Linked DNA regions of Lepisosteus oculatus. The protein of the gene in region 3 interacts with the protein of the main gene of each other region in a pairwise test. Links are inferred from orthologs where the notes say so. Each region holds a gene or a part of one and is shown on either strand. Other genes may lie near its edges.

Region 1 (7,161 bases), on a different chromosome or scaffold from region 3:
TCATCTTATATAAAACTGGAACACCAATCTATGCAAAAATAAAGCTTCATAAATATAATATTTGTAAGTTGTGTCTTGAGCAGGTCATTTCTACAAACCATTTAACATTATTATTTTGTTTTCTACAACCACTGTGGAGGTGACACTTCATGTGAATTCAACTGTGTGATGTTTATAGGTCTCATTACCTTTTCCAACAGAGTGTTCCCATCCTTCGACACCCAGCCAGGCAGCCTGGACAGTCTTTGACTAGGAGACAGAAATATATTAGGGTTTACAGAGCATTGTAAATTATATAGTTGTATACAACAAACTGTCCCATTGACTTTCCCCCAAAAAACAATGTAACCTCAGCATTAACTTCTCAGTCCAGCTTCATAGGCTTTTCCTGTCTTTTGCTATTTAGAAAAAAGCTACATTTCTGGTGGGTGAAGAAACATGCGGAGGAAGTATTCTGGCTTTAATTTGCTTTTGAACTCTTTCTTCACACAGCTGTACAAGCTGAAACACCAGAATATATAAACTATTAATACAACTATCTGGGCTTCTAAAGCTTTTCTTCTTGCTATAAATAACAAATCTCTTAAGATCAACAAACAATCCATTCATTTAAGGCTCTCTGTTGGAATAAACATCTGATAAATAGGACAGACTAAAATAGAAGACAGTGATGTCTAGTCTTTCAAAAACATGTAAAAGTACAGGTGTGTCCTTATTTTAAATTCTTAAATCTTTAACAAATGTGCTTCACTTCAGAATAATTTCACTGAGAGGTAATACTTACAAATACTTTTTGCAAAATTTAGTAATTCAGACAGAATTACTAAATGATGATGACAAATACAGCATTTACTGTAGTTTAATATAATTAAGTCCTATCATTAACCATTGAGTTGTACCAATCATGGCCTCCTAATAAGCCCCATCTATGGATTGACTTCATTACTCTGTTCTCCTCCCCACTAATAGCAATGTGAGCGTTCTGGCGCACTATGGCTGCCGTCGCATCATCCAGGTGGACACATTGGTGGTGGTGGAGGGGAGTCCCCATTACCTCTAAAGTGCTATGAGAGGAGTGTCCGGAAAAGCACTATATAACTGTAAGATATATAACTGTAAGTTTTATACTGGCATAATGTTGGGATAAATCACAGCTAAAGAGTAATACATTAAAAATAATAGTTAATAAAAATGTTAGAATACAAAATATCAAGCTTTCATGTTTGCATAGTCCACCCTAATTCATCCAATTTAGGGTCACTGGAGTGAGAGCCTACCCTGGCAAGCAACAGGCACAGGGTGGGATAAATGCTGGATGGATCTCCAGTCCACGGCAGGACATACACACTCACACACTAGGGCTAATATTAACATATCAGTATGTCTTTGGACTAGAGCACCCAGGGAAAACCCATGTGAACACGGGGAGAACATTCAAACTCCACGCAGATAGCACCCAAGGAACTAAACCCAACGCCCCAGCACTGCGAGGTAGAAATTCTAATCACTGCACAATAATGCTGCCCTATTTTGTTATGCATTAATTAAATCACAAAAAAAATGTCAGAGAAATTATTATTATGTTCTACCTAATGCAAACTACCCAATCTCTCCTCTTTTTGTAAACCAATTATGTATGTGATTTGTTTATTGATAAATAAAAGAATTACATAACTACAATATTTCCATCGAGTGACTCCAAACCTGAGCTGTAATTAAATTTAAAATACAGCACTAGAGTGCAAATTACAGCTAATGACTAGTGCAATTGAGTGGTAGTGATTACAATTCTAAACATTAACAAGGAACATAAACAATTTTTAAAGGTCTTGTATTTATAACTTTCATTGTCACTGCCATTAAACAGACTTGATTTGTATTATATTACAATAAAGTAACATCAAGATTTGTGAACAAAATCAAGATCTATCATTACTTAACTAAACAAACAAATGTCTTTATGTGAAACCAAAAATTAGATACAGCTCATTTTACTTGAAACTAACAAAACTATGAGTTTTGACAATGAATGTTGGCCATTTCTTTTAGATTGTTTTTTTCTATACTTCTAACCAAATCTTTGTTCATTCAAGCTCCAGGTTTTTAAAATGTTGATTTCCAAATAAGCATTATAATTATTTTACAAATGCTGACTGTTTTATTTTTTCTCCACTATTTGGATGTCCAGTTGTTTGCGAGGAATTGTAAAGTCTACAAATAAAAAAAACAACTAGATCGCACGCTCCAACAAATCTTCAGGGTCTTTGTTTAGAGTGGTTTGATTTATATAAATATCGCCATAGGAGAAGTGGGCTTTTCAGCCAACCATCAGATCACATTTTATCCTCTCAATCTAACAGCTTTGTAAAATATCTTGGCTTTCCTGAAGAAATCCAACCCTCTTTACTTATTCTCCACAAACAATTCACAAAGGAAAAAGGGAGAACATGCTAGGTCAACTTTATATTTAAAAGATAACACTCACTCAATTTTGAGGATGTTTCTGGGAAATTAAAATTACATAGAACAAGAAGAATATGCCAAATTCCTTTGTAAAACATCACAACATCATCACTTTCAATAGTTGCCCGTCCAATTCAGGGTCACAGTGGCCCTTCCAGAGCCTATCCCTGGAAGCACTGAGCACAAAGCAGGCTACACTCTGGATGGGATGCCAACTCATTGCTGGGCACACACTCCCAGTAAGGCAAGTGTTACAGAAGCCAGTGAACCTACCAGCATGTCTTTGGACCACGGGATGAAGCCGGAGCACCCACAGGAAATCCACGCAAACACAAAAAATCATGTAAACTCCACACAGAGATCATGCCAGGAATTAAAACCCAGGACCCCTGCACTGGGAGGCAAACATGCTATATACTGTGTCACCATGCTGTTCTTTGAAAAACGTTTCACCAATAACATGTGTGAATTTTACTATGAAGACTGTATTTTTATTTTTTTTGTTGATGGTCTTACCTATGTACTAGAGGCAAAGGCAGGAAGTGCAGCGCTGATGTCATGTCAAGCCCACAGTCCAGCATGATGGTTGTAGATTTGAATTTGAGGACATTGCAGGGCAAGGTTGGATGACCAGACAAGCAGTACTACACAAATACAGGATAACACACATCATGTTTTTAAACCATGAGAGGCAATTGCATTTAAAAGTATTTATCAATAAGCTATGTCAGAAAAATGTTTTTTTTTTATGAGCTTCAATTCTTAAATTTAAATCCAACTACTGGGATATTCTTCCTTCTTTATTCACACGACGTTAGTGATGACATACATGATAAAGTTGATTTATTACAGTCCATCAGACAAACTGGAACAGACATCGAACCATTTACAATTGATTACGTAAAAGAAGAACATTTTTTTAAAGCGGTGAACAAATCTTTTCCTGTAAGTACAAAACAAAGTACAGAACAGTAAAATACTAAATTTGCTTGCAAAACATCATGACGTTGAACTGTACTTATTTTCATCGTTCAGCAACACTGTGCTATATAAAAATAATTACTTGCAGACGTGAAGCGCTTTATGAAAGGGACCGACTCCATCTATTAAAGTGCAGCAATTTGATTACACACAATAGATAATGTGAAGAAGTACGAAACTGCTTTGTCATCTGAATTAAAACAATTGCAGAAAGGCCAGATTTAAAATAAACCAAAACTGAATTAAACCAGGACACTAAGCTTAATACGTCAGGTTTTGCGTGCACTAGTCTTTTCCTTAATGCATATACTGTACATTAGTAAAGTGGTAAACATTAGATTATTTCTATTCAACACGTGTCCAGCTTTTGTAAAATGTAACGTGAATTGTCCAAACGAACTTCAGTCACCTTTTCCTGCTAATAACATAAAAAACGTTCCAGTTTCTCTAAAGTTCCCTCATTCAACTGACCCATGCTTATTGCAGCCTGGACTTTGCAACAAGAAATGAAATAACTTAATTGTATACTCACTAGTTTCATCCTGAATTGTTATGTCAGATGACCTAGATGTACAGTATATATTTACAATCCCCACGCCAAATCTTTTGGATTTCAAGAGTCAAAGTTGATAGTTCACTTCAACATACTTCCTGTGGTCACCTCCTCTGGGAGATGTAGTTTATTTTTTAATTTTCACTGCCGGGTAGCTAGAGCAAAGGGTGAAAAGGGAACAGAACGCAGAGCGACGTGTGACGAGTGTTTCTGTCGGCCGCTACTTTGTAGTCCCGCTGGGAGTAGGTCCATGACGTTAACGGGAATTGTAGTTCTCGGTGGAAGCCTGTCGCTTCAGATTGAGAGGGACTCGGTTTTATACTTTGTGAGAAACTACGGTTCCCGACGAACCTCATTCTGCTTTCTGATGTTGATGTCAATATGGCTGCTGTCAGACAGACAAAGGCAAGTCAGTCTAGTCTCTGACTGAAATCAAATTAGAAGGAAAAGGACAGCAAGGGTTTCAAAAAATAACTCGTGTATGTTTTGTTTCGGTGCTAAATTCGCGGGATCACTCTAGGAATTTATTTGTATTCCTGTTATTAAATGGTGTGGTGGACGGAGGCCCAAGATAAACTGATAAAGGTAAGAATTATGTGTCAATATGCAGCGTCTGGATTAGTTTACACTGTTCGAATGATATACAGGTCGAATTTTGATCAGGTGTATTTCAGTTTTAATGAAACGTGTATTGGTTGCTTGTGTACACTGACTCCGATCTGAACATAAAGCCAGGTCTTTTGAAACTGCAAAAGTAAACATGATTAACTATCATAAGTGTTATCAGTGTTATGCTTAGTGGGGGAGTTATCTTCAGATTTTTGTTCGCACAGTATGTGCTTCTCAACACAGAATGTCCTTTGAGAATGCATTGTCAGCTAGATGTTCATCACGATGCCATGTCTATAAAATGCAAACTAATTCATATTTTGGGAAGAATAAGCGACCTGCATTTCTTCTGGATTATCAACTCGAAATGCAGTAGTCCTAAAATGATCCATAATTTACACATTTTTAAAGTGCAGCACGCTAGGTGTTGCAGTGGGTGGATGGTGTTTCTTACTCCAGCAGCCGTAAACATTGTACCCTGGGACGTGTGTTTATTTTGGTGGTGCAAGTATGTGGTAGCTTTTGGGCGGTGTGGGCGTTTTGGTGGTCTTGAAGTATAATGACGTAACTCATTTCTGAATGTGTGACGTCTGACCGAGCGGAGGTGTATGACCTGTAGTAGCAAATACTAACTCCCTAACGATTATCATTCATGTTCATCATCGTCCTAATAGTGTCAAGTATATTTAGTCTGACCTTGTTTATTGAATCAACACATTCTTTCTCAGTAATATATGTTCAAATTAATTGCTATAGATCAAGGGAATATTGAGTGGGCTGTTCTACATAATGCATCGTTTAGATGCATCAAAAACAGAAGAAAATTAAAGTTGTCTGTTTGAAATGAATTGGAATGAATCAGTTTTTGACTCGTTTTGACTCTTACATATCATTGTGACCTTATGATAATTGCTCTGTACAGTACAAATTAGAAATAAATCTCAATGCATAGTGTGTACAGAATGGAGCAGTCATTGTACCTTTAGCAAACAATGTTGTGTTGTCTAAAATACAACAGTAAGTGAAGAATCCTTCACTGATAACTGCGAAATCCACAGTTCTGGACGTTTTGACATATGTGAGTGTTGCTAATTCTGTTTTGTTGTTTCTCTTTGTAGAACACTGTGAAAACTTTTTGTGTTCAATAATTTCCAGAGGTGTACTGGAGTTAGACTCTAAGATCAGAAAATAATGCAGTTAATGTTAGACCTGTTCAGAGATAAAGAGAATCGCACCATTTTACCTCAGTGTGGATTTGCATTTGTATCTTGAAGAAAAATCAGCATGTCTAGTCAGCCTTTCCTTTAAATGGCTGTCTGCCAAAGTGAGTCACGGGCCGTATGCTCCACTTGTAAACGTGAACTTCTACAGGTATCCAGGCTGTAACTTGCCCCCATTTGGAGAACAGGTGGTGGAAAAAGGGCATGTTTGAAGACACTAACCCACCTTGATCTGAAATTATGATATCACATCTGTCTTGACCAATTGTGTGGTGCCATTAACAAATTGGTGCTGCGTCACTTCCCAAACTGACTGGCAGCAGTGTGTGACTTACTTCTTTTAGGTGAACTGTCATTGCATTTTGTCATCGTTTACCCTCTGTGATCTGGTCTGTGTCCTGACTTGAATTTAACTAACATATCTTCAGATATCGATGGGCAATTTCATAGGCACTGTCTATGCTTACTTTAATGCTTGTTGGATCATGTCACAAATGGGTTTCATGGGATTATATTACTCTTTACCAAGGCCATAATAAAGAACTGTTCTCCTCAAAAATTACAGCATAGCGTTCTTTGCCGAAGTACATGGGTACTATTCTTAGCCAGCAGATCCCCTTACAGAAAATAAGGTGAACATTGCAAGACGTTACTTTAGTAGTTACAATACCATCAAAGCCTAAACTAGAATTCGTCAAGGCTTGGAAACTTCTTTGAAACTTGGGCTTTTAACCCAATAAATCTCAAAGCACTTTACATACAGGAGAAGACCCACTTCTTCTACCTGTGTAGCACAGTGCCCACCTAGGCAGCAATCATGTGCCAGCAGCTCCACTATACAGCAGTTCAGGGATTGAGTTGAGAAACAGCCTCACCAATTCAGTTTAGAGGAAAATTTAGGAAAGCCAGACTGTACGTGATCAAAGTCTACTTTAGACAACATTCCTACCTTTTCTAAAAATGTCATAGGATCTTTGGTTTTTGTCAGGACTTCTATTTCAAGTATCTGAATGTCAGCAAATCCTAGAGCACAGTTGTAACAGGTCCCCATACGGGGACATTGGTTTGGAAATTCTGGCCCAGAGGGAAAAGTGCGATCTATTCCTTCACCAATTCCACTTACAACAGCAGTCTGGTTTTCTTTGGGGTTTCCTATGAACAGGCTCAAACTGCATAGCTTCATATATCTGCCTAGAAGGCGACAATGCTGCTCCTTCAAGATAACAAGGGCCCTTACTTTATCAAATGGCATTATGTGAACATCCAGCCATAGAAGTCAAACCTTTGCTTTAAATTCCAGCAGTGGCACATGCATTACAACTCATTTTACAGACC
Region 2 (7,858 bases), on a different chromosome or scaffold from region 3:
ACTGGACCTTCTGTTGAGGTTTCTGCAGAAGCGAAGCACAATTTAGGACACCAGGATAAAAACAAAAGCCATAGCAACCGCTGCACAATGAAAAGCTAGGCTCTGCAGATTGACCGCCTTTTACTATTACAACTTTATTTTCCAGGGTTTTTGTTGTAGTTAAGTCCCAGGAAATGTCACAACCAGGTCAAGATCTATGACATTCTGCAATACATTACAGGAATTACCAGTCAAGCTCCAGACAAAATGTGGGATAAAAAAAAAACAGTAAACAATAGAGCAATGCCTTTTAAAATCCCTAGTTGAAGACATTCATTCAGTGCTAAAGGCACTTGCTTTTTATGGCTTGCATGTCAGAAACCATTGTGTTCAGCTCAGTGCTCCTTACAACCAAATGTCCAACACTGGGCAATTTGTCCTCAGGAAGACGTTTATGGCCATCAGATATAGAGCTCCTAATATTAAAGGCATTTAGTTTTCGTTTATCAAATGCACTGTCAAAAATAGAAATCAGAATAATATCCCTTTACAACATAGCACTTACACAAGAGTCAATCCCACTTACTTGCATGTCAACATTCTTCTATTGGTTTAATGATAGCAGCTCTTTCAACAATTTGCAGTTTAATTGTACTTAACTAAGGAGTATGGGTGTTTTTATTCAGAAAACATGTTCTGATTACAAAGATACACAGCGTGGGGCAAAGGTTAATATTATCTACTTATTAGCTATTGAACGGGTAGGTCTGAGGACACACAGACAGGAACAAAGTACACCCATAAATGTCAATCAATTTGTGAGGAAAATTAAAAAGGACAATCTATCTGGACAATACTTTTTAGGCACTTCAATATCTGTTATCAATAAGTTATTTTTTAGTTTTCCATTGACACAGAGTGCTGTATCCATTTAAACTGATAATGTGGAAGATCTGTGGTCCTGGAAATTATCTTAAATGCATTACTGACTGCATAAAGAATGCCTGGAGTGACTTAGAAATGCAGGCTTTCAAGCTTAATGTACTGGGATAATTCATGATCATTCACTTAGGACACACGCTTTAAAGAGATACATACTTCTGTCTATTGGTTGCTCAAAATGAAGTTTATGTCTTACAAATAAATCATCAGAAAGGACATCAGAGTAATAAACAGGAAAAAACCCTCTGACTTAAAATATTTGGTTCTTCTACTGGGAAGAAAATAAATTGAGCGCAGAATTTAAATAATCACGTTGGTCTTCTCTTCATAAACTCACAATGTGTCACCACAGGGAAATATTTTCAGCTCGAGCAGACTCAATGTTTACGAATTCCAACCCCCTGAAAAACAACCAAGATCCTTCCTGTGCAGTATTGGTACAGCATACGCTGGATAGAACTAAGCTGCCAATTCTCCTATTCTAATTTCGTTTTTATAAAGTATTGGCCTTTATTGTGAAAGAAAACCAATTTAAATGTAAAAAATGGAATTCAAATGAAACCAGTTTTACTGTATATTAAACTCGTTTAAAAAAAGCGGAGAGGGTCTTTTTATATAGGTACATTATTCGGTCTAAAAATGATGCTCTGCACCCTTTATGATAAAAATAAGCGGAGGCGGCTACCTGTCAGAGCAGATGTGTTCGTCTGGAGTAACAGAATGAAGGAAAAGCTGTAACAGTTTTGTGAAAAGCGCTTATTCAACAGTTTACTGTGCGCCAGTGACGCACTGTGTGTGTGTATTGATTAGTTCCATTCGCGAGCCAGAGGCCCAGTAGGTAACCAAGCAATTAAGTTTTCCACTGCCCTCTTAGAGGTGTCTGCTCATTTAAAGGCTTTGTACAGCACGATAATGGAGCTGCGTGATCTCGAAGCCTTACATAAAGAAAGCTAACTCACCTTGCATCAGACACTGTATTTGCAAATTCATAAACAATTTAAATAAATAAAAAACTTAGAAAAAGTAACCCTCTGTTGTTGCAAGTGTGCAGGCGTTACAGTCGGATGCTTAGCTAAAACAAAGGAACACTTTTCAATAGAAAACGAGGGGGTTAAGAAACCGCTGTCTCCCTCCATATTTATAAATACACAAAGAACACTGTTTACCTTGCCAGAGAGGAGGAAATATCTTCTGTCAATTCCACTTTCCCCTCTTGTATGAGCTTGTTAATACAATCCTTTATGATTATTGTTATTAGCAGCTTTTTAAAAAACGAAAAACAATATTTAAAGTGCTATCAGGTATCCTCCAAGCCATCCAACAGTAATAAATCCATCAAAGACGTAAAATAAAATATTAAACAGCTACCCAGATGGCAAAAAAGAAAATCCCAAAGGCCCGAAAGAGCGAAAGAGACTTGGATTCCCGTGACTTCCTGAATTAATGATGTATTTTAAGAACTACGAGCGCTAAAAAACAACTAAGTTACCTTATTAAGGTAAAATATAACGATCACAGCCAATCATAATAACCTCCTACAAATACCCACAGTGTTAGTGGGATAATAATATCAAACGCTCCTGGAAAACAGATGTAAACTAAGGCAATCCTGCAATTTTTATCTTCTTTAGCTGCAACCAGCGATCGGGCCCGCAACGCGTTATAATCCAGTTTCTATTAACCAGGGAGCCATCGCAAACAGCTAGGAGGACGCCGGACAGAAAACATCGAATTGGTACAGTATTTCCTCTTCGCTGCTTCTCTGTTGTCGAGGGTCTCTCCTTTCAGCCGCGTCACCAGCCCAGAAGAAAAGCAGACTCCTTTTCCAAGGGATCCGAGGAGCAGTGAGAAGCAGAGGGGATACTTGAAACTCCTTAGTCGATAAAAATCCCAATTTATCCTCAGTTCGGAAATACAGATGTCCCGGATTCCTTTGTTTCCGGGATGCCCGAGGCCGAAGTCATCCAGCGCCCGTTAATGTAACAGGGTTCAACCCCGGTTTGGTCGTCCTCTTCTGTCAGAACTACTTCTCTCCCTTTCCGTGCTGGAGCCTCGGCTCTCGTTATCTCCAGTTTCCTGTTCTCCAATAAATCACTGCGTGACGTTCCCAACGTGCACTGCGCGCTGGGAAGTATCCACTTCCAAACTGCAGCGCCCTCTGAGGTTATCCCCGGAATTAAATACGGGAATACCCCCTCCAAAATCAAGTGAAGTCAGGTAAACTGCCCCCAATTGACTACTAGTAACCAATTGAGTTAGATGGGCCTAATGGCCTGATTTTGTTTGTAACCTTTTTTTTTATTTTCTTACTAAAATCGACTAAAATGTTTATTTCCTTCCTAAAATCTGCCTCACAGTCTCACATTCATGCAGCCATTGGAGATGTACTGTATGGTCGGAGCCAAAAGGGCTTTTTTAAAATTATGCCCACATTTTTCCATATACTGTACCAGCCTCTAACCATCGTGCGTGAATAATTAAAGACTATACTGACGTTTCTTTGTCAAAGAGAAATGTGCCCACATGAGACTGAAGACAGGAAGGGTTGAAAAAGATGAAAATGTCAATCAATTGTTTAAGATGCAAGCCTTTATTTTATGGCTTTGTCTGGGGTGTGTTTTTAGCTGTTATATTCTTACATGGCCAGAAGTTATTTAATAAGAAACAATATGTTTGAAATCAATCTTTATACCATAAAGCACTCAGATTACTAATACTACTGTTTCCTGTTTCATTTAAATAATTTACCATTACCTGACCATATTGACACCCCTAGTCATTTCACTGACCCCAGCCTTTCCCCCTGCCTTGAGGGACCTATCACTCTAAATTACTGTAATTAGTCATGAACATCCTTTCTGAATAGATGGAGGTCAAAGGTTAAGCTCTCCACACCTCGTTGTGTTCTATTTTCCTTTCTTTTCCCAATTTACCAGGATAATATAACGGCCTTAAAGCCCTCTGGTGCATCCACAAAGTGACAATAACTGCAGTATGGTTGTGGGAAAGATGGGACTTCAGTTGTGCTTTTAACTGGGAGTGCATGGATTTCTGGGAAGTGCTTCATTAAAAATGTCCCGAAATACAGGCTGTGACTTTCTGATAGAAGAACATCAGAACATTAAAACATGAGAAAAAAAGTATTAAAATTAGTTCTCACACAAAGGGCTCTTGCTCATTGTTTTCTTCCAGTCCCCTCCCTATTCCATAATTCATTTGTTTTATTCAAGTAAATGGACGAACCAAAAGGAGTGGAGAAGATTGGCGCTTTCTAACCAGACTTAACTCCTGACTCTGTCGTTTCAGAACAGCAGAGTGCCCCATGCCCTCTCACTTCCTTCTCTCTGCCTCCTCTTTATAAATAGAAGAAGACTGCTTTTTCACACCTACCAGCTGCTGCATGAAAAGGAATGCACTGGTCACAGAAGATGCACAAAACAAATAGAATACAGCAAACGAAAATGTTCCCCCACATTCTTTATTAGTAAAGAAGACCAGTAAGGCAAAAATAGATGTTTAATTTATATTTCTAGGGGGCTTTCCTTATAGAAGATGTTATTTAGCATATGCTGCACATATCAAAAGCCCACCACTTACTGAAACACAAGACCAGCATTTTTGAGACAAAGATCATGATAAATAAATAAACACCCTTTGTTCTGGCTTCTACTGAGGATGAAGTGCATTCCTCTTGGCTGAAATGTGCTGGTAGTGGATGTGATCATATACAGTTGAAAATGGAAAACAGTGGCATTATTTGCATAGAAATCTTTTTGTTTTAAATAACATATTTTACAACTCACACACAGGTTATCCATGTCTTAAATCAACCTGTAACTTTCGATGTTTTTTATAGTTAGTATATGTTCTGGGAATACAGTAACTTTCATTAAGTTTGACTTGTGATGACTCATGGTTTTGTTTCACAGAAGCACAATAATACATATCCTGCTCATTGTGCTGAAAGCAATACTCACAATGTGTTATACAACTTTCAGCATGGCTACATAATTTTTAATTATATATTGTGCATACAAACACCCCCTCCTTTCATCACTAGCATTTGTGCTGTGATCACGAAAGTAATTTAAGTTTAAGGAGTTAAGCAATTTTTATGTACAAGTGCAGCACATGCAATACACAATCATGTACAATATCTATACATATATATGTATGTACACCTCAAAAAGTGTTTATGTCACTTCGCTCATAACTTGGATATTTTAACATCTATATTTCAAGTGATCGCATAACTGTACTTGAGTATACAGGACCATGGGAAATGCATACTTTGAACGGGCTGTTTTGTTTTTTCATTGGCTGATGGATGGTTTGATGTTATACTTAGAGCATTGTATTTATTTGATCCCAAGTATATAGTAAAATAAAATGTCAAGGAAAACAAAAGGCCTCATGCATATTTCACGTATTGCATTTTAGCTTCTATCATTACTCAGTTTATTGGGGAGACAAGGATGGCACTGTCTCAGCAGATGTGTTGCCTGTGATTATTAATAGTGTGCATCTAATTCACCAGCTGGACACTTGCCATTAGAAACCTCCCAGTGGATATGGTGAAAAAGCCTGATCAGACATAAATCTGTTACAGGTTTTACAGCATTTTATACATTCTGATATAGACACAGAAAAAGAGGGCATTGCTTTAAAACAGCCACAAAAGATTGGTATGTCACTCCATTAGCTACATACTCTATGTTCCATCATGTGTATGTTTTTCACCATTATTACTTTTTTAATACAAAACATGCATGGTAATACATGGACAATTTTAAACAAATTTATGCTGAAGGCTTTCTTTAGTATTTGATCATTTGCATTAATGCATTATTAAAAAAGAAAATGATAACTTCAACAATTATTACCAATACACAGCACAAAGATGTTAATTATATGTAAATATAGTAGTCCCTGCACATATTTCTACGTACTGTGTGTATAACAGCAGTGAACTTGGCTCCTCCACAAATTCCAATCTAGAGTATTTGTCAATGCATCCCTTTATCACCCCTCACATCCACTGCTATTTGAAAATCACAGTTAGAAGCAGACTGATGTGTTTTTACAGGTACCAGTAAAGAATGTAAAGAATGCATGGAATGTCACTCATTCCAGAAGTCTGACAAAAGCAGAATTTACCCTGGAATCAATTGAATATGGTTTGGTGCAATTACATTTATCTTTCTTTGGTTTTAGAAGTTGTGGTTATTTATGTAAGTTATGTTGTTATACATTGAGTTCCATAGAATTAAATGGGTAAAGATCCACCTTGTTTAGGCATGTGGGCAGGACCAAAGTGTAGGGGATTCCGGAATCGTAAAACATTCTGTATAAATAGCTAGAAAATAGCACACTCAATTGCTTCTTGAGTTGAAGCAATACTAAAAGACATGGCAATTAAAGACAAGACTAAATTAGAAGGGTTACGAAGACTTCTTTGGCTTCTATTATTACAACTCCTGTATCTTAACTCTGGAGAGAAAGAAGGAATCTGCAGGTACAAACTGATTAGGTGGGGACAGTCATTTGCTTTTGGGTAGTTGGGTCTGGATTTCATTTCTACTATTCCTGCTTCATGCCATAATTCACAGATATTGCCAGACCTTACCAGGACGAATCTGTGTTTCTTTTGGTTGACAAAGTGCAATGCTGCCTTCTGCCAGTTTATGGAAAGCATCACATTTGACATATCCCAGTGGAGCCGGTTCCTCAGGATTTGACACCAAAGAGAGTGTGTATCACCTATACCAGTGTGCGATGCTGCAAGGCTAACAGTCTTAAACACAATATAACCAGCAGGACAACTTGGTCTGGGCGAAGGACTGTTTCTACACAATGAACATAAGAGACCACCGGGGGTGTTCTGGGATATTTTCAAAACAAAGTGCGATGGAGACTCCTAATTAAAATGACAACATCATTTAAAAGCTCTAATTATTTTAAAGGAGCATCCTAAGCCTTGAATTGACATTTAGGTTGTATGTTTCAAGTGTGTAGGCAGGAAATTGTTAAGGAGCATCTCTAAAGCATTATTTTTGCTTTTCGGGAGACAATAGACATTTCCTCCAAGACCAAGTTAGCGACAATACTGTGATTTTAGGACTTTTTATATAATGACAAATACACTGTACATCTGTCCACTGCACTAATGCCTATGCTACAAGCGCTGAAAGTGTGAAGCAAATTGATTGTTCAATACTGCTGCCATAACAAGTTGAAATATTCATTAGGTACAAAATCTACATTCCCCAGTACCTAATCTATTCATTAGGTACAAAACATATCCCCACATATGTTTTGTTCACTGATCTTGAAACAGCAGCAATGATGAACATGGAAAAGGAAAGCTCATTTTCCTGATCTTTTGGCTTTTGCTACTTTTTTCTCTGTTCCAGAAAAAAATATTCTGTTCTTGCTAAAACAACCAGCAAATTAATTCCAAGGCCCAGCAGGACACACTGGAACTTTAAAGGCAGAACTGACAGTGCTGTTTGGGAGAATTTAGATGCCCTAAGGGAATGCATGGAAAAATGTTGAGAGCAATCTGGCTTGGACAGAAAAACAGTCAGTGAAGCATATGGTCTATCCAAACACTTGGATGACCTTGATTTCCTGCATTAATTGGATTTTTTTGCCTTATTATTCATACCCAAAGTTGACATATTGTATAACTTCTTACAGAAGCGTGGCATTGACACAGCTGCAGGGAGTACTGTAATAAACAGTGCAAAATTGAACACAAAATGAGGGAACACATTGATTCACTGGCAACTTCAGATATGGAAATTGAGCCTTCTTTAAAATGAAGAAATGTGAACAATGACATTATCAGAAATGAGATTTGTGACACAGTAACCATACTAGAGAAGAACAGATTTGGTCAAAGTGACCATTTACTAGCAGCATGATTAGTGGATTA
Region 3 (8,013 bases):
AGCCACCATCCTCAAACAAATGCAGGTTCTTCACCCAGCTGCTAAAATGGTAAGTACAGTATTGTCAAAAGATGACTTGATGTACTTTAATTGGTTGCTAAGAAGAACGTGTACATTAATGATTAATTCATTCTGTTAAAAATGTGGATTTAAGTATTTAGCTCAAAGCAACACCATTTTACAGAAATTTTAACCATCTTGAATACAACAATTGTATTTTTAACAGTAGTGTAAGTTTTCATGTAACATTTGAAAACACTCAAGAAATTTGGCAGTTAAATATTAATGCATAACAAAAAAACACAGATAATATGACCAAAACAGCCTTGATAGAGTTCCTTTTTCCGCTATGTGAAATTGTTTTTATCAAACTTCAACTGAACTTAGGCATTTGCTTTAGGGTGATCTAATCAGTTTTGGTAATATCACTTGCTTTATCGAATTGCTTCTGTTGCCTTCTAAGTTCATGGCCAGCAGTTAACCTAAACTCCTTTGCTTACTCCAGCTGGTGGAGCTCTCCAAAGCTCAGGACATTGAAGCTGGTGATGGGACAACTTCTGTTGTGGTGATTGCAGGTGCTCTTTTGGATGCTTGTGCTAAACTGCTTCAGAAAGGTAAAGAATTTCCATCTTGTTTGTTTGGAGTCAGTTATATTTTTTTAGTTTTCTAACCAGAATAAGTCAACTAGAATAAGTCCACAACCAGGAGAATACCCATTTGTACATTAAGGCATTTACTGGAGTAAATAATGTGATTAGGCTTGCATCAGAGTACAATAACATCCCACCCGGAATTTGATTCCACAGCTCTCTGATCCGCAGTTCAGAGCTCTAATCGCTAGTTTGCATTGCCACAGGTGTATGGTAAGTGTTGTCCATTTTTATTAATGTTGATTAATGTGATTTTGTTGTAGGAATCCATCCTACCATTATTTCGGAATCTTTCCAGAAAGCTGTGGAGAAGGGTGTTGAGGTTCTGACAGCCATGAGCCAGCCTGTGGAACTGAGTGACAGAGAGTCTTTGTTGAACAGTGCCACTACGTCACTGTGCTCCAAGGTAAATCATTTCAAAATCTTCTATGATAAAGGCATTATAAAATGTTTAGTCATCACATAATAGTTTCTACTAGGAATGCCCTTTTGAAGTGCAAGATGAAATGTAACTATTTTTATAGTTTAAATGACTGGTCATTTCAGTTGAATATCTTTTTTTGTTTTATCCCTGTCCAGGTTGTGTCCCAGTACTCCAGTCTGCTGGCACCAATGAGTGTTGATGCTGTGATGAAGGTGATTGATCCATCTACGGCCACGGGGGTTGACCTCCAGGACATTAAAATTGTGAAGAAATTGGGGTGAGTTGACAAGGTGCAGTAGCTGTGCTTTTGATGGGGAAATACATCTAGGGGTGTAACAAGAAATTGTCAGAATGGAAATTAACAAAGTTTTTATTCACAGGGGAACCATTGATGACTGTGAGTTGGTTGATGGACTTGTGCTTACGCAGAAAGTAGCAAACTCTGGTGTCTCTCGGGTTGAAAAGGCAAAGATTGGTCTTATTCAGTTCTGCTTATCTCCTCCAAAGACGGATGTAAGTTTAAAATTTTCACTTCTACAGTAATTGGCGTTGTGGAAGGACTATGTAGTTGTGAAGTCAGATGGTGTACTGACATTGACCTGTTTTTGTCTGCTAGATGGATAATCAGATTGTTGTGTCTGACTATGCCCAAATGGACAGAGTGCTACGTGAGGAGAGAGCTTATATCCTCAACTTGGTGAAGCAAATCAAAAAGGCTGGATGCAATGTGTTGCTCATTCAGAAATCTATTTTAAGGTAAAGTTCATATCCATTTGCAATATAAATCCATTTTGTATTATTCTTGTTATACTGCAGCTTTGTTCTGTTTTTTTCTTGTAAGTATTGTGAATTAAGTTTATTAATGATCATTTAAAATATAATTCCAGGGATGCACTGAGTGACTTGGCTCTTCATTTCCTAAACAAGATGAAGATAATGGTTGTTAAAGATATCGAAAGAGAAGATATTGAATTCATCTGCAAGGTAAAGAGATAAATTATATTTTATGTCAACATCTTGTTAGCATTTCTGAACTGAAAATGGTTAATTATGATCTAACTTTTGTCTGCTACAGTTATACTGTTTTCTTGTAAGGAATTCTTTACCACCATAGATATATTTTGTATTTGTGATTGCAGACTATTGGAAATAAACCTGTGGCCCACATAGACCAATTCACAGCAGATATGCTGGGCTCTGCAGAGCTGGCTGAAGAAGTGAGCTTGGATGGGTCTGGCAAGCTTGTCAAAGTAAGTCATTTGAATGTCAGCATAGTTTTTGAAGAAATGTGCTTTTTAGATGAAGCAAAGAGACTTAACATGATTTGTTATACAGATTACTGGCTGCGCAAGCCCCGGAAAAACTGTCACCATAGTGGTGCGTGGATCCAACAAGCTTGTGATTGAGGAAGCGGAGCGCTCCATCCACGATGCCCTCTGTGTGATCCGCTGCCTAGTGAAGAAAAGGTATTGCTACAATTTCAGTGTGGGTGCTTTCTACACCAAAGTAAGGTTGGAGTGCCCTAATTGAAAAAGGGTTTGTGTCACACGCCTTATTGACTGGCGAAGTTGTGAAGAACTTCATTTAAAATAAGTGACTTTTTAAAAAAAATACCCAGTGCAGTGTTGTTTAATAAAGGTCATATAAAAAAAAATGAAAGGGGAAAAATGTATCGACTAACAGCTAAATTACTGGTATGTGGCTTTGTATGGAATAAACTGCTTCTAGATTTACTACATCATATAAGCAGTTTTTAAAATTATTAATGAATTGTTTTACCTTGAGCATGAGCTCCTGAATGTTGGACCCTAACCTTACCCTGCCATCCCTTCACAGGGCCTTGATCGCTGGGGGAGGCGCTCCAGAGATTGAGCTGGCTCTGCGCCTGGCTGAATATGCCCGCACGCTGAGTGGCATGGAGGCCTACTGCGTCCGTGCTTTTGGCGATGCTCTGGAGGTCATTCCCTCCACGCTGGCAGAGAATGCCGGGCTCAACCCTATCTCCACTGTCACAGAGCTGAGGAATCGGCATGCGCAGGGAGAGAGGACAGCCGGCATCAATGTCCGAAAGGTAAGCTTCCTTCTTCAAGTGTAAGGGGACCGGGAAGAATAAGGGTTTTGCTGCAACTTTTCATCATGCAAAGGTGCCACAAAAATAACGCAAAAGATTTTGGTTCTAAATGTTGTTTACAATGTACTGAAGGAGTTTATTTTTGCACGTCAAAAGTTTTAGCAGGTCTGACTGAGGGAGTCCTCTGTTTTTTCCACAGGGTGGCATTTCCAACATCTTGGAGGAGCTGGTGGTGCAGCCATTGTTGGTGTCAATCAGCGCCCTGACTCTGGCCACTGAAACTGTGCGCAGTATTCTCAAGATTGACGACGTGGTAAGGGTCCTTATTACGAGAGCTGCTCTAACCAGTGCTGAAAGCTTGTTGGGGGATAAATGTGGGATGAAGACTCTAAATAAGAAAAGATAATTTGATGCACTTGTGATTCAGAAGGAAAATTCATTTTAACAGGCAAACTGGATGCCACATCCTAACTTGCTGATTGATGCCTTTCTAACTCCTGAATCGCCATCAGTACAGCACTTCTGCAGTGATTCTTTATAATGTAACTAGAAGCTGTATATTAGCTTTCAGTCATGCTAAGACCTATAGTTAAAAAAATCAGATATTTACTAAAGAGATGGATACATCTACTAAACACTTTTTCAGTAAGTTATAAACTTTTTGTTTTATAATTTAAACTGTGTTAAATATTTATTTGTGTGTTTTGTTTATGGTGCACTGATCACAGGTTTCTGACAAATAGCCAGTTTCGTTTTGTCCATATTGAATATTTAAGCAGATGACTTCTGTAATGGAAATACTCTGTAATGTGATTGATATTTAATTTTACTGTGAAGTTGTTGAGATTTCTTAAAATAGTTACTTCAAGACATTGCTTGTAGTTAACTTGGATAAAGTGCAGTAAAATATTGTTGATGACTTTAAGATTATAGTATAAACTTAAATCAGTTAAAGGTTTTTTTAAGATCTGTATTAGATTGTGCAGAGTATTTAAACACTATGTTATAAGTAAAATCTCAAACTGAAATATTCTTTTTCAGCTGAACACTCGGTGAAGTCCTCTTCTGTGGATTCAAGAAAGGTCAAAACGTCCTGGCCCTTCGTACAGACAAGGCCTTGATTTAATGTAGTGAGCCTGCAGACCAATGTCACATATGTAGTCTGTTAATCTGTACTTGTTAACTAATTTAATAAATCTTTTGAGATCAAAATGTTTGCCTTTTTTTAGCAAAAACATTATTTGGTTGCAGCTTTTGATTACCAGTGTGGTATCCGTTTGATTTTAAAATGGTGGACCTTTGTCTTAATTTGCGTTGTATTAAAACATGTTTGATCTTGCATTATTCTTCATTTAAGCTTTACATGAGCATAACACATTGGTTTAAATGTTTCATCCATGTCCACACATAAAAGAAACTTAGATTCATTGGTAAAAGTAAGCTTTTTACAGATTGCCATTTCTCAAATTGCCTCTTGGACTGTCAGGGGATCAAGAGCAATTAAAACAGCTCATCTGTTTGTTTGAAAAACACCTTGAGATGTTTTTCCAAAAATTGAATTGTAAAAGACCACTGGGGAAAAAAGTTATTGGAATATCTGCAGTGGAGACAATGCATGAGTAGGTATAGTCTACAATATTAGCTGTTTTTGTAGAAAGGTCATTAACTTAAATTTCCAGAGCAGCACCTCCTCCAGGCTTATGGATTAACACTTGCGCTGTCACTTAGACTTTTTTAAATCTTTAAATCTTATTGAACAGCTTTGTCAAATAGAATGAATCTGAAGGACTTTCCATGCTCCAAACCATTTTAGCTGCAATACGTGTAAGGGCATTACACTTTATATAGAGCGCTTAACTAACTGGTTACACCGCATTCTCTGTTCAGAACAGAAACATGATTTCGTGTAGTGGGTCCAATTAAAGAGTGTGCTTTATTATTATAGTTGGAGTTAATTCAAGGTTGCCAAATGTGAAAATGCTGAGCTGTACACGGGACTGGTGGAAACGCCGTACCTTAAGCGATTAGAGGAGTTTTGGCCCAGCGGCTGCCCCGTAGAGTTAACTGTAACCAGGGTTGCAACGCGGTTAGCATCAAACAGTAGGATTAGGAGTTACGGGCGTGTAGGACGTCAAAGCACTGGGAAGTAGCCTGAATTTCTGAAAACCGAAAGCGAGTCAAGTGCAAGACAATGGAGAACTCGCACCGTGTCAACGTCCTGGTAACTTCGTGTCTCAAAACCCCCGTGAACCCTCTTACCAAAGCACCAGTTGCTCTGTTTGAGAGGGAGAGCGCTGCTACACGGGGCGAGAGGTCCTTACCGGCGGAGCAGACCCGTACCCGAGATTATGAGGAAGAGGTAAGAGTACCGAAATTAAACATAGAATTGGCAAGAGAAATCCTGTTCCTGTGACCGTTTCACTGTAGCGCTGAAAATGTTTAATGAGTATCTCTAGATTATTTTTATATTTCTTTCTGGTTTGGGCATCGGCACTTTACCGTCGCCAGTCAAGCTAAGACTGGTAGTGAATGGTAGACTGGTAGGCTCCAGACAGTCTTGCAATTACCTTGAGCCTCAAATATTTTATTCCTCATTTCCACACCTTCGTTGTAACCATTACAGAGGAACTGTTTAAGAAAACGTTTCCTAAAGTATAGAAGACAAAGGGCCCGAAATAATAAACTTAAAACGAAGGTTTTTCTTTTCGCGTTGTTAGAATTCCACCAAAAGCTAGACTATTAATTATTTAAGAGGATTGGAGTTAAACACCCTTTCTGGAAAGAAAGCTTCTGCGATTTGTAACTATTCTAGGATGCAGATGAGACACTAACGTTTAATGGATTACAGGGGAGAAAAGTGTGGCTCTTTAATCTGTATTGTACAGAGCCACTCGAACAGCGGACAGGTACAGTGGGATACTCATTTTTCACCCTTTGTCTGCACGCTGAGGTGAGGCAAATATTTATACAGTATTTAAATGGACCAAATGTTTTAGTGGATGATTATATTTGTCATTAGAAATATTAATATGTAACTGTTTATGGCGAGGTATTGTTAAAATTTCATAGCATTTTCCCTTAGGGGGATTTTAATTTGTGCAGATAAATCACTTGTGGTATATTGCATACTTGGGTAGTCCCTTGCGACCCTAAATTGGAAGAATGGGTTAGAAGATGAATGCTTGTGACTTTCTCAGACATTCCTCTGAACACCCGAAGGAACCAATGTGTCTTGAGTTGTGAGCATCGGTGTAATGGAATAAAAAAATATATATTTTTGGCATATTGATACCTGTAACCTATTTAGTATCTTTCTTTACTTTCTGTCTTGGCTGTTCAGTATCTTGGTCATTATAGAAGATGAGCTTGTGTTAAGAATACACATGTACCTTTTATCACTGTTGCTACAAACATCTTCGCACTGCTGAGTGCCATATGGTCACTTCAACTAATGAGCTTTGTGCTCTAATGCTGAGAGGATATGGTATTCAGAGAGTGGTTTGCTCTTTTATAATATTTCCTTAGGTTAAAGTATGTGTCTTCTAGTTCAAACCTGATGTTCACCATATTGTTTGTGAATGACGAATTAAATATGAAAGGAGACCTGCTGTTTAAAGGTTACATTGTAAAACAACAAAGTTAAACTTAAACCTGTGTTTGTAAGTTCATTATGTAAAATATAATGGTTTATCAGTGATGAAGATTTTGTATTTTCAGTGGAGCCTCCAGTATGATGGTTAAATAAATGCAAAATAAAGTGTATTTCATACATATTTAAATCTTCATCACAGCGCTTAATATCCTGCCTGCAGTGTAGTTGAGCTGAAGCATAATTTCATCTGTTGCTTTAGGCTTTGCTCTTATTTGATTAATGTTAATACAATTAAAACTGGTTCAAAAATTGTTCTTGGAAACCTCGACCTTGTCAGCATGCCATCATGCCATTTTAATTGAATTATTCTTGCTTTATTTTGTGTTGCAGAATGCATATGAGTCGGGCTTAGAGTGTGAGGGCAGGAAGGACAGTCCTGTGCTGATTAAGGACTACAGAATGGCTGGAGACTGTGTGGATCTCCAGGAATTTTACTTCTCCAATGAGGAATACTACAGAAAACTGGAGGAACTGAAGAAAGCCCATCTGCAGACCATGGCAGAACTGGAAAGGATGTATCGCAATAAGATGGAACTCAAAGGAGTGGCAGCTCCTGACAATGAGTGTGCAAACCCTGAGTTGTTCTGCAGGTTTGTCTTTCTTGGTGTCCCCAGTAACCTAAACACCCCCTAAAGTGAGACTAGAAGCCACATTGGATCTTAGATTTCTCATCAACTCACATCATCACTGCTGAGAACAAAGCGAATTTCGTAACAGAGTTTGTGGTCAATATATTCTTTAGAAAGATGCATCTACATAATACGAAGTATTGTAGTTATTCAGATTTTGTCTTGCCAGGCAGTAACTTATGGTAACAAATGTATTAACATTTTCATCACATTATTAAAGTTTAAATTTGCAGCTTAACCAGTGAGACCTATGTGTGTCTATATTCCAGACTACTAAATATGTAATATATTGAGTTGCAGTATCTCAAACCCTTACTTTACCTCAGATTTAAAGCTCTGACTTGTACTTGTTCTTTTTCCTAGATTGCAGAACAATAGTCCAAAGCCAACAAAAGCATTTCGAAAAGCCTTTTCTGCGAATGACCTGAATCATACTGTTTGTTCAAGTTTGTCAGATACATCAGATGAAGACGCAGCATACAATGAGGCAGGGGATGTTGAAAAGGGTCTGCTGTCATCTCCCAAGGAGCACATTAAAAACATGTGGGATGATTTTTCAGTGGATGATTATGTGTCCTGTAAGAGAA
Region 4 (7,513 bases), on a different chromosome or scaffold from region 3:
TTTCCTTTTTGTTTCAAGACAGCATTTCAAAGAAGTCACACAACTTCTTTAAATATTAGCAACACATATGGCACAGTATGTTTAAGCAAATTTAAAGTATGGTTTGAAATTCACCCATTAAAAAGTGTTGTCCATTAAAGATTCTCTGTGATCAAGATGACCCCTACTGTATAGTATAACTACTCTAAAACCTAAATAACTCAATTTGTAAATCAAAAGATATTGGAAAGCTTTCAAATTAAATGTAAAAGAAAAAAAATATTTCCAGACTTGTGTATTTTTAAAATTTTAGCTCCTGTAGATGAAGTCTAATGCATATCCATGAATGAATTGTGAATCCACATCCACATAATGAATGCCCAGTACAGTATATTATATAAATACATTGTGTGCTATACATAAAGGGGTCAATTCTGACAATAACTGTGTTCTTTTTATTAGCATGGGGATTTGTGAGTTGGATGTGACTGTTTTGTTGGTTTTAAAGGAGAATAACAGCAGCACAATATGATTGCATGGTCCTGTTACAAAAAAACAGGACAGCTTAACCATGAACAGACTGGGCTTGAAAGGAATAATTGCTTTATTATTATTGATCCAAAAAATGATATTTCCCAGACTGACTGTTAAAGAAGTAACGAAGAGACTTTTCAATGTATGTAACACACAGTATATTCACAGAAGCCCTCATCCTCTGCACGGAGCATTGCACCACTGAACATACACAGATAACATTTTAAATATTGCAGTGCAAGTTTGATTATGATTTTTTTTTACAATTGTACATGCACAATACAAATAACATGGACCAACTATTGTGAACTTTTATTATATTTATTTTATAAATTTAAAAAAGGATAACTTTATTTTTAGCTATTACTCCGCTGCAGTAGTCAACACTGTATGCTGTCTTGAAACATCTAGTGCAATGATCCATTAAAAAGCGGCCTTCAGCTCAACATACAAAGACCTGTGCACTAGGATATAGGAATAGTTCAATATTTGAAACTCAACACATATCATGGTATGGGTACACGATATTTCTTATCCAACAATGGGCCGTTCTATTATTCAGGTTGTTGAATGTCATACAGTATATTAATACCATTTCTAATACATTTGCAGGACCTGCGCTTTTCACAGCAAGGACAAAATTCTACCATGCGCTCCTCACTTTAACAGGCGCCACCTAACGGGACCAGGGCACTAGATAGTTGTAAAATAAATTAACTTACATTATAAAGAAGGTACGTGAGATTTCATGATATTAATAAGGAAGCGCCTAGGGCCCACTATATTTGCGATACACCATTTATTCAGGAAAATTTGTTTTCGGCATTATTAACTTAAAATTCGCAGTTAATTTAGGCACAATCAACACCAGCGACCAAAAACATTAATAAAGTGAAGACGTTAGAAATATATTTTTTTTAATCTTAACGAACAAAACATCTATTTTTAAATAAATGGCGGCAACTTAATCATCTGAACCCCTTATAAGTGTTTCTTGTTTAATAAATGTATGAGCTATGAAGCCACCTTGTGAAATAACTAACGGCTACTCAAAGGACAAAGGAGAACGGCTCGGGAAAACTGTTTCTCTTCACGTTGTCCTAAATGTCGTCTCCACGCTTTTGCATAGCTATAATGCACAGCGCCAGACTTCAGATCTTTAAATCACATGACTTAGGTAAGGTCTATGACAATGACACGACTTTATTGTGGTATTTTTTAGCGTGTCGATTAAACCTAGCAGGAACCCGATATGTAATATTTTTCAGTCACGGCAAAACATTGTAGACATGATATTGTACAGATTAATACACGTATTTTATGTTTTGTAACTGCATGACATCCGAGCGTTTATGTGGTATGTTCCTTCAGTGAGAGGAAACACTAAGCCCTTTTCACGGAGCAAATCCAGTTTACAATCTCTCAAATATGCATGGTGTTGCAGTCCCAGTTCTTCGACTATATAGTCCACTATAGCGCTTTATGTACAGTAGCTATGATACCCGTGGACTATGTTACAGCCTTAGGTGCATTTTGAAGAAATGAAAAACACAGTGAGCTTTCAGAATTTATAGGTGATGTGTTTAAGAGGACAAGGGGTTTATGGATATTAATGGAATTTTATTTTTAGTGTTTGGAAGCCTCCAAAATACACCCCACGGAGAGCTTTTTTTCGCTCCCGCTTCTGTTTGCTGAGATGGGTTTCCTTTTTTATACACTTACCTTTTGCTGTCGTCTCGCCATGTCTGTTGGTTGTTTTGCATTGAACGGGTAGGCAATGCACCTCATCACAAAGACATATAGCTGCAGCTTCTTCTTTCTTTCCTCCTCCTCCTTCTGCATTTTTTCCATCTCCTCCTTCTCCTTCTCGCTTACCACCGAAGGACTCGGGCTGGATGGGCGGACGCTACTGCTCCGACTGCTGGGCTGTAGCCCGCCGGAGCTCTCGCTGGTCCGGCTTGGGGAAAGCCGAGCTCCGGCCGGAGGTGCCATTACCTCTTTGCTCTCCTCTTCCACTATCTCGTCTGATTCCTCTTCGCTGGACGACGGATCCAACATTTTGGGTTTTGCAGTTGTTTTCTACAGTGGTAGCTACCTAGCTAAGATGAAAGATGCAGGACCCGAAGGATATGTAGTGGCAGCAAATGCAGATGAAAAAGAGCGTTGAACAGACTGTATGAAGTCCAGCACCCCTGCTTAAAAGCTATTAGGAAGGAAATCAAAAATCCTGGTATTAATAAGAAATCCAACCTGCTCCTGTTAGTTACAGAGATACAAGGATGCGATGTAGTCGGACGCCTGACGTTGAAAGCGCCCTGTATAGCTGTTTGTATTGGCAAGGCAATCTCCCCCTACCGAACGCGGCTGTTGCTGCTTACGTGTTTTCTGTATTTTAACTCTCCAGTCACCGCCAGGGATCTCTGAAAGGGATAAGGTATTAAGGAAAAGGGGAGGGATGTAGAAAGAGTGAAAATTTTCAGGATCGAGGCTCATCCATTGACTGCCTCTGCTTCCTGCGGGAATCTGTCAATGGTAACCGATCGATAGCCACATCCTGCTATGCGGTGTCTGAAATGCAGGGGCACAGGGAGCTGTCCAGGGTGCTGAATCGAAATGTTGACCGTATTGTAGGCTGCAGAAGGCTGGTGCTGTCCCTCGCATTGACAGTAAGCAGACTTAGCTTGGCATATGGCTCTCACATAATAATACTAAAACAATTGCCAATTCAAGTTGCAGACCCGCAAGATTCACCGCTTTCATCCCAATTGTATGTACAATATTAAGTCTGGGCTTGACCTGTTCAATGTCGTCTTGGATTTGTTTTGCTTTTGATTGCCTTATTTCAATCCGAAATTTACACATAGACAGTTTGCGAGTTTTTGTACCACACCTAGGCTCTTCTCCGTACTCAACCTCCTTAACAGAAAATCATGCGTACAGTGTTCACGTTTCTTCTTTCATTCGTTTCAATTAATCAGATCAAATTTTCTGGTTTATTCTAGTAGGCTGGAATTTTGTGTTAGGCACTGGACTACATTCTGAGTCACAGTCTGCTTTATTTGTGTCGGGTTGTTTGATAGCAATACTATCAAGCTATAGCAAATTGTATTTGTATGCACTGCACATGAACACACGCTATAAATATGTATAATGTATACACACTGTATATAGACATGGTAAACATTTTCACATAGAATATATCATAAAATACACCAACCAGAACAAAAGTAAACTGAATTATGATTAATTTATTTTACATTTTCTAAGGCAAAGATTTTGTGAGGTCTGCAGTTACATAGACCGCTCATTTTTCAATTAGTTTCCCAGTATTGTATCACATATATTAATTCCAAAGTCTGTTTTATCTTCCTGTCCTCAGCTGTCATTAGGACTTTGGATTTCTGAAATAATCTTTCTGGCCTTAGAGGTAGTATGCCTTGGCCTTGCTTTGTATGTAAACTTTGGATTGCATTATATTGTAACGCAATGGGGGCTCAGGCGGGCGCCCTTGCCGCATTAGGACCGCACCGTCGGGGGCTCGAACCCAGGACTCCCGCGTCACCCCGCAGGGACCCAGCCCGGTGAGCTAAAGAGAGATCTCTCTACAGCCCAGTAGCTGTAGTCCTGCTATCACAGGGAAGGGCGGTGACGTCACCTGCTCTGGTACGCCAGCTCTTACACAGTGCCTGTCGGCTGTAAGCGTTACACTATATTTTATATTTTGTAATTACTAAAGAAATAATGTAAGCCTTTAGTAAACCACAAACTTTGATACTGATTTATGCCATTTGGCTTCTTTATAATACCCTTCAACTGCTTTCTTATTGAAAATCCTAATTCCGTAATCTTCAATACTTTTTACATCTAATGCCAGCACCTTTTTCATCATTGTTTTTATCATATTTAAGAGGGTGATGTACTGTAGCTTAACAAAAGCTAACGGTTGATAAACAACATTTGATAAAAATCTGCATTACAGTAGTTAACTTTTTGTCATTATGAGTAGAGTATGAACAAGGTACCTTTCACACAGAGTCAATCTGTTAAATTGTTTTGGGTTGCATCTATTATTTGATCCATCTTTCATTTGAAGGAGCAGTGCCTTATGTAACCAAAACCATTATTTATATACAGTATACATCCATTCATTTTCTAACCACTTCTTTCAGTTCAGCGTTGTGAGCCGACGCCTATCCTGGCAAACAATGGGGACCACCCTGGGCAGGACACCAGTCCTTCATAGGGCAGACACACAGACACAAGCACAGACACCTTGGGCCAACTAACCTAACGGTATTTTGGACTGAAGGAGGGAACCAGAGCACCAGAGGAAACCCATGTGAAAACTGAGAGAACATGCAAACTCCACTCAGATTGCACCCTACAGTAGGTCCATAATTGAGCAAGTAATGCTAAGCACTGCACCACCATCTAGCCCCTAAATCATACAAAATCATGCATCAATGTAAATGTTTTTGGTTTATGTTCCTTTGAAAGGCAGTCTCATAACTACAACAAAACCCTTGCTATTTTAATTTAATCTAAATATTATTCAGAGACATAACTAATGCTGAGAGAATCTCATTTACCGTATTACATCCATAATTCACACTGAGGTTCCCACAGATACTTTGATGTCATCTCCTTTAACTAGACAACATTCAGCAAAACCATGTTAACCTAATATTTTGATTGAAACAAAAACGTTTTGGGATCTCCTTTATTCTGAAAAAGAAAATCTACAGAGATTAGTTCCTTAGTTTACAAACAGTACATTTCCAGGGAACACAACTCTTCTAAATGTGTCATTAGCAACACCAAACATTTTAATAATAAAACAGAATGCTTTTCACAACTATTGGATTATGTCTGACCTGCAGATTTACTGAGAATAAATAATCATTTGTGAATAAATCCAAACATTTGTGCACATACTGTATACAATCAAATACATACTTATATCTCATTTCAGGTAGCTCCACATCTTCCAAACATCATTGATTATATATAATATTATAAAAAAAACAATTAGTTAAATGATTCCCTCTAAAAATAACATATTTCAGTACACACAGAAACCTTCTAGACTCTTGTGACGTACTTTAATCTGAAAATCATCAGAAAATCTATGTTGTTGGTTATTAAACTGACTTTACATAGATAAAATAGCAAGGAATTACACTGAAACAGAATATTATTTCATGCTTATATGCTTATGCATATGACAGGAACAACATAGGTTATCAATCATACAAATTATTGTAATACAGGGGTAATGCATTTTAATAAGTTCTTTAAGACACAAGCTCTTCTACGTACTTCTGAAATTTAGCTATATAACATGGTTTATATGCATATTAATGGCAGCATACCAATGCTGAGGATTTTATTAATTTATAAAGGAAACATTTTTAAATGCTGTTTCGGCGCTTTCAACTTTTTTGTTTCCATAATTGAATTAATATAGATAACACATGAAAGGTTGTTCTTAAAAAAAATGACGATTACAAATCTCTATTCTTTTTATTAGTTGGAAGAGTGAACTCATAAATAATGTTACAGATGTTTAGAAAAAAATATTAACTGAATTGAATTGCTGTTCAACCTTTAACTTTGTTGGAGTCTTTATTTGAAATTGGATATTCATGCTCCTCTCAGGCGGAATGTGGATCCAGGATATCCATTCATTCATCCTTCCATTTTCTATCCACTTTATCCCGTACAGGGTCACAAGAGAGCCTTCCCAGGTACTGTAAGCAAGAGATGCAAGGCAGGATACATCCTGAATGAGATGCCAGTCCATCTCAGTGCACACACAGACTCAAACACACACACTCACACCTGGGCCAATTTTCCTATTGGACTGTGGGAGGAAAACAGAGCACACAGAGGAAACTCATGTTAACATGGAGTGAATATACATAATGCATACAGATACCACCCCAGGAATTGAATTCAGGCCCCAGGGCTGTGATGCAGCAATTCTAACCAATGTGCTACCGTGATACCAGTCCAGGATATAATTGAATTTAAAGAATTTTAGTAGTGGTGCAGCACGTTTCTTCAAATAGAAGTATTTCTCCATATGGAAAAGTAATTTGATAATTTAGGAACCTTTTGTATTTTGCTTCTGTATCAGAAATAAAAAATACACATAAAATCAGTGTTTTGTTTGTGTTGTAATTTTGAAATCCATGGTCTTCAAGCAGGTACTGTACAGTAAATACAAAGAACTATATGAAGCTGAAACATGTAACCACCTGTATAGAATAACACACGGCTTAAAACAATGTACTGTATATCAGTAAATGAAAAGTACGACTGGAACCTTGATTTTTGTATTGTTCTGCAATTTAATCATCCAGTCAACATATCTTATTTAAGTCTCTACATTAGACAAAGTATTTTATTTCAGAATCAAAATCTTATTCTAATTTCTATTTCTATTTCTAATCGAATTTATTGTCCACATATGGTGGAAATTTTCACTGAGACAATATACAAACCGTATATAATACAGAGTACATACAGTGCAGTAAAACATTCAGTGGATTCTATACATGTACTGTATACAGTCAGTCAAATATAAATAAAACTACCTTACAATACCATACAAAAACTATCAGATTCAATTGTATATATTCTGTCAATACAATGATCTGAGGGGTCTGATCTATTTTTAACAATTAGACAGGAATGTGTAGATTAGTTAGGTTATTCTAAATCACCTACAGTGGTCTAAACTTTTACTTATATTAATACTGAATTAATGCAAGTCAGTTGATTTTAATGACTTGAAAGAAATCTAAGAATTTTGTTCTCAATTGTATTTTAGAGTAATAACAATAACCTTAAACTGAAAAGCAAGAAAAGTAAACATAGTTTTCCATTGAATGGTCGCTAACATTTGATTAATAAAACACACATATAAAACTCCTCAACATATAATGCATACTTATATTTAACCTTTTCAGTTAAAATACATATTTAAATTAGACCT

Evidence for each region.
Region 1: the proteins of fam161a (region 3) and hmbox1a interact in binary tests that used the Homo sapiens proteins (3 or more experiments, as listed by UniProt). The two-hybrid records come from large-scale screens. The link is inferred for Lepisosteus oculatus from reciprocal best matches to the Homo sapiens genes FAM161A and HMBOX1.
Region 2: the proteins of fam161a (region 3) and liprin-alpha-1 interact in binary tests that used the Homo sapiens proteins (3 or more experiments, as listed by UniProt). The link is inferred for Lepisosteus oculatus from reciprocal best matches to the Homo sapiens genes FAM161A and PPFIA1.
Region 4: the proteins of fam161a (region 3) and cadpsa interact in a two-hybrid assay, tested with the Homo sapiens proteins (2 studies listed by BioGRID). The two-hybrid records come from large-scale screens. The link is inferred for Lepisosteus oculatus from reciprocal best matches to the Homo sapiens genes FAM161A and CADPS.

What each region holds. Positions count from the first base shown.
Region 1 is NC_090697.1:60,387,325-60,394,485, reverse strand, and holds the start of hmbox1a (homeobox-containing protein 1a), read left to right. Parts: upstream 1-4,153; 5' UTR 4,154-4,582; intron 4,583-7,161. Other genes in the region: ints9 (integrator complex subunit 9), read right to left, coding at 189-249, 2,980-3,107, 3,977-3,985. UniProt on the Homo sapiens protein: Binds directly to 5'-TTAGGG-3' repeats in telomeric DNA. Associates with the telomerase complex at sites of active telomere processing and positively regulates telomere elongation.
Region 2 is NC_090716.1:5,712,671-5,720,528, reverse strand, and holds the start of liprin-alpha-1, read right to left. Parts: upstream 3,019-7,858; 5' UTR 2,088-3,018; intron 1-2,087. UniProt on the Homo sapiens protein: May regulate the disassembly of focal adhesions. May localize receptor-like tyrosine phosphatases type 2A at specific sites on the plasma membrane, possibly regulating their interaction with the extracellular environment and their association with substrates.
Region 3 is NC_090712.1:9,715,922-9,723,934, forward strand, and holds the start of fam161a (protein FAM161A), read left to right. Parts: upstream 1-5,009; 5' UTR 5,010-5,336; coding exon 5,337-5,504; intron 5,505-7,127; coding exon 7,128-7,387; intron 7,388-7,789; coding exon 7,790-8,013. Other genes in the region: cct4 (T-complex protein 1 subunit delta), read left to right, coding at 1-49, 506-614, 914-1,056, 1,230-1,351, 1,455-1,587, 1,691-1,830, 1,962-2,058, 2,214-2,324 and 4 more. UniProt on the Homo sapiens protein: Involved in ciliogenesis.
Region 4 is NC_090699.1:48,655,212-48,662,724, forward strand, and holds the start of cadpsa (calcium-dependent secretion activator 1), read right to left. Parts: upstream 3,011-7,513; 5' UTR 2,572-3,010; coding exon 2,236-2,571; intron 1-2,235.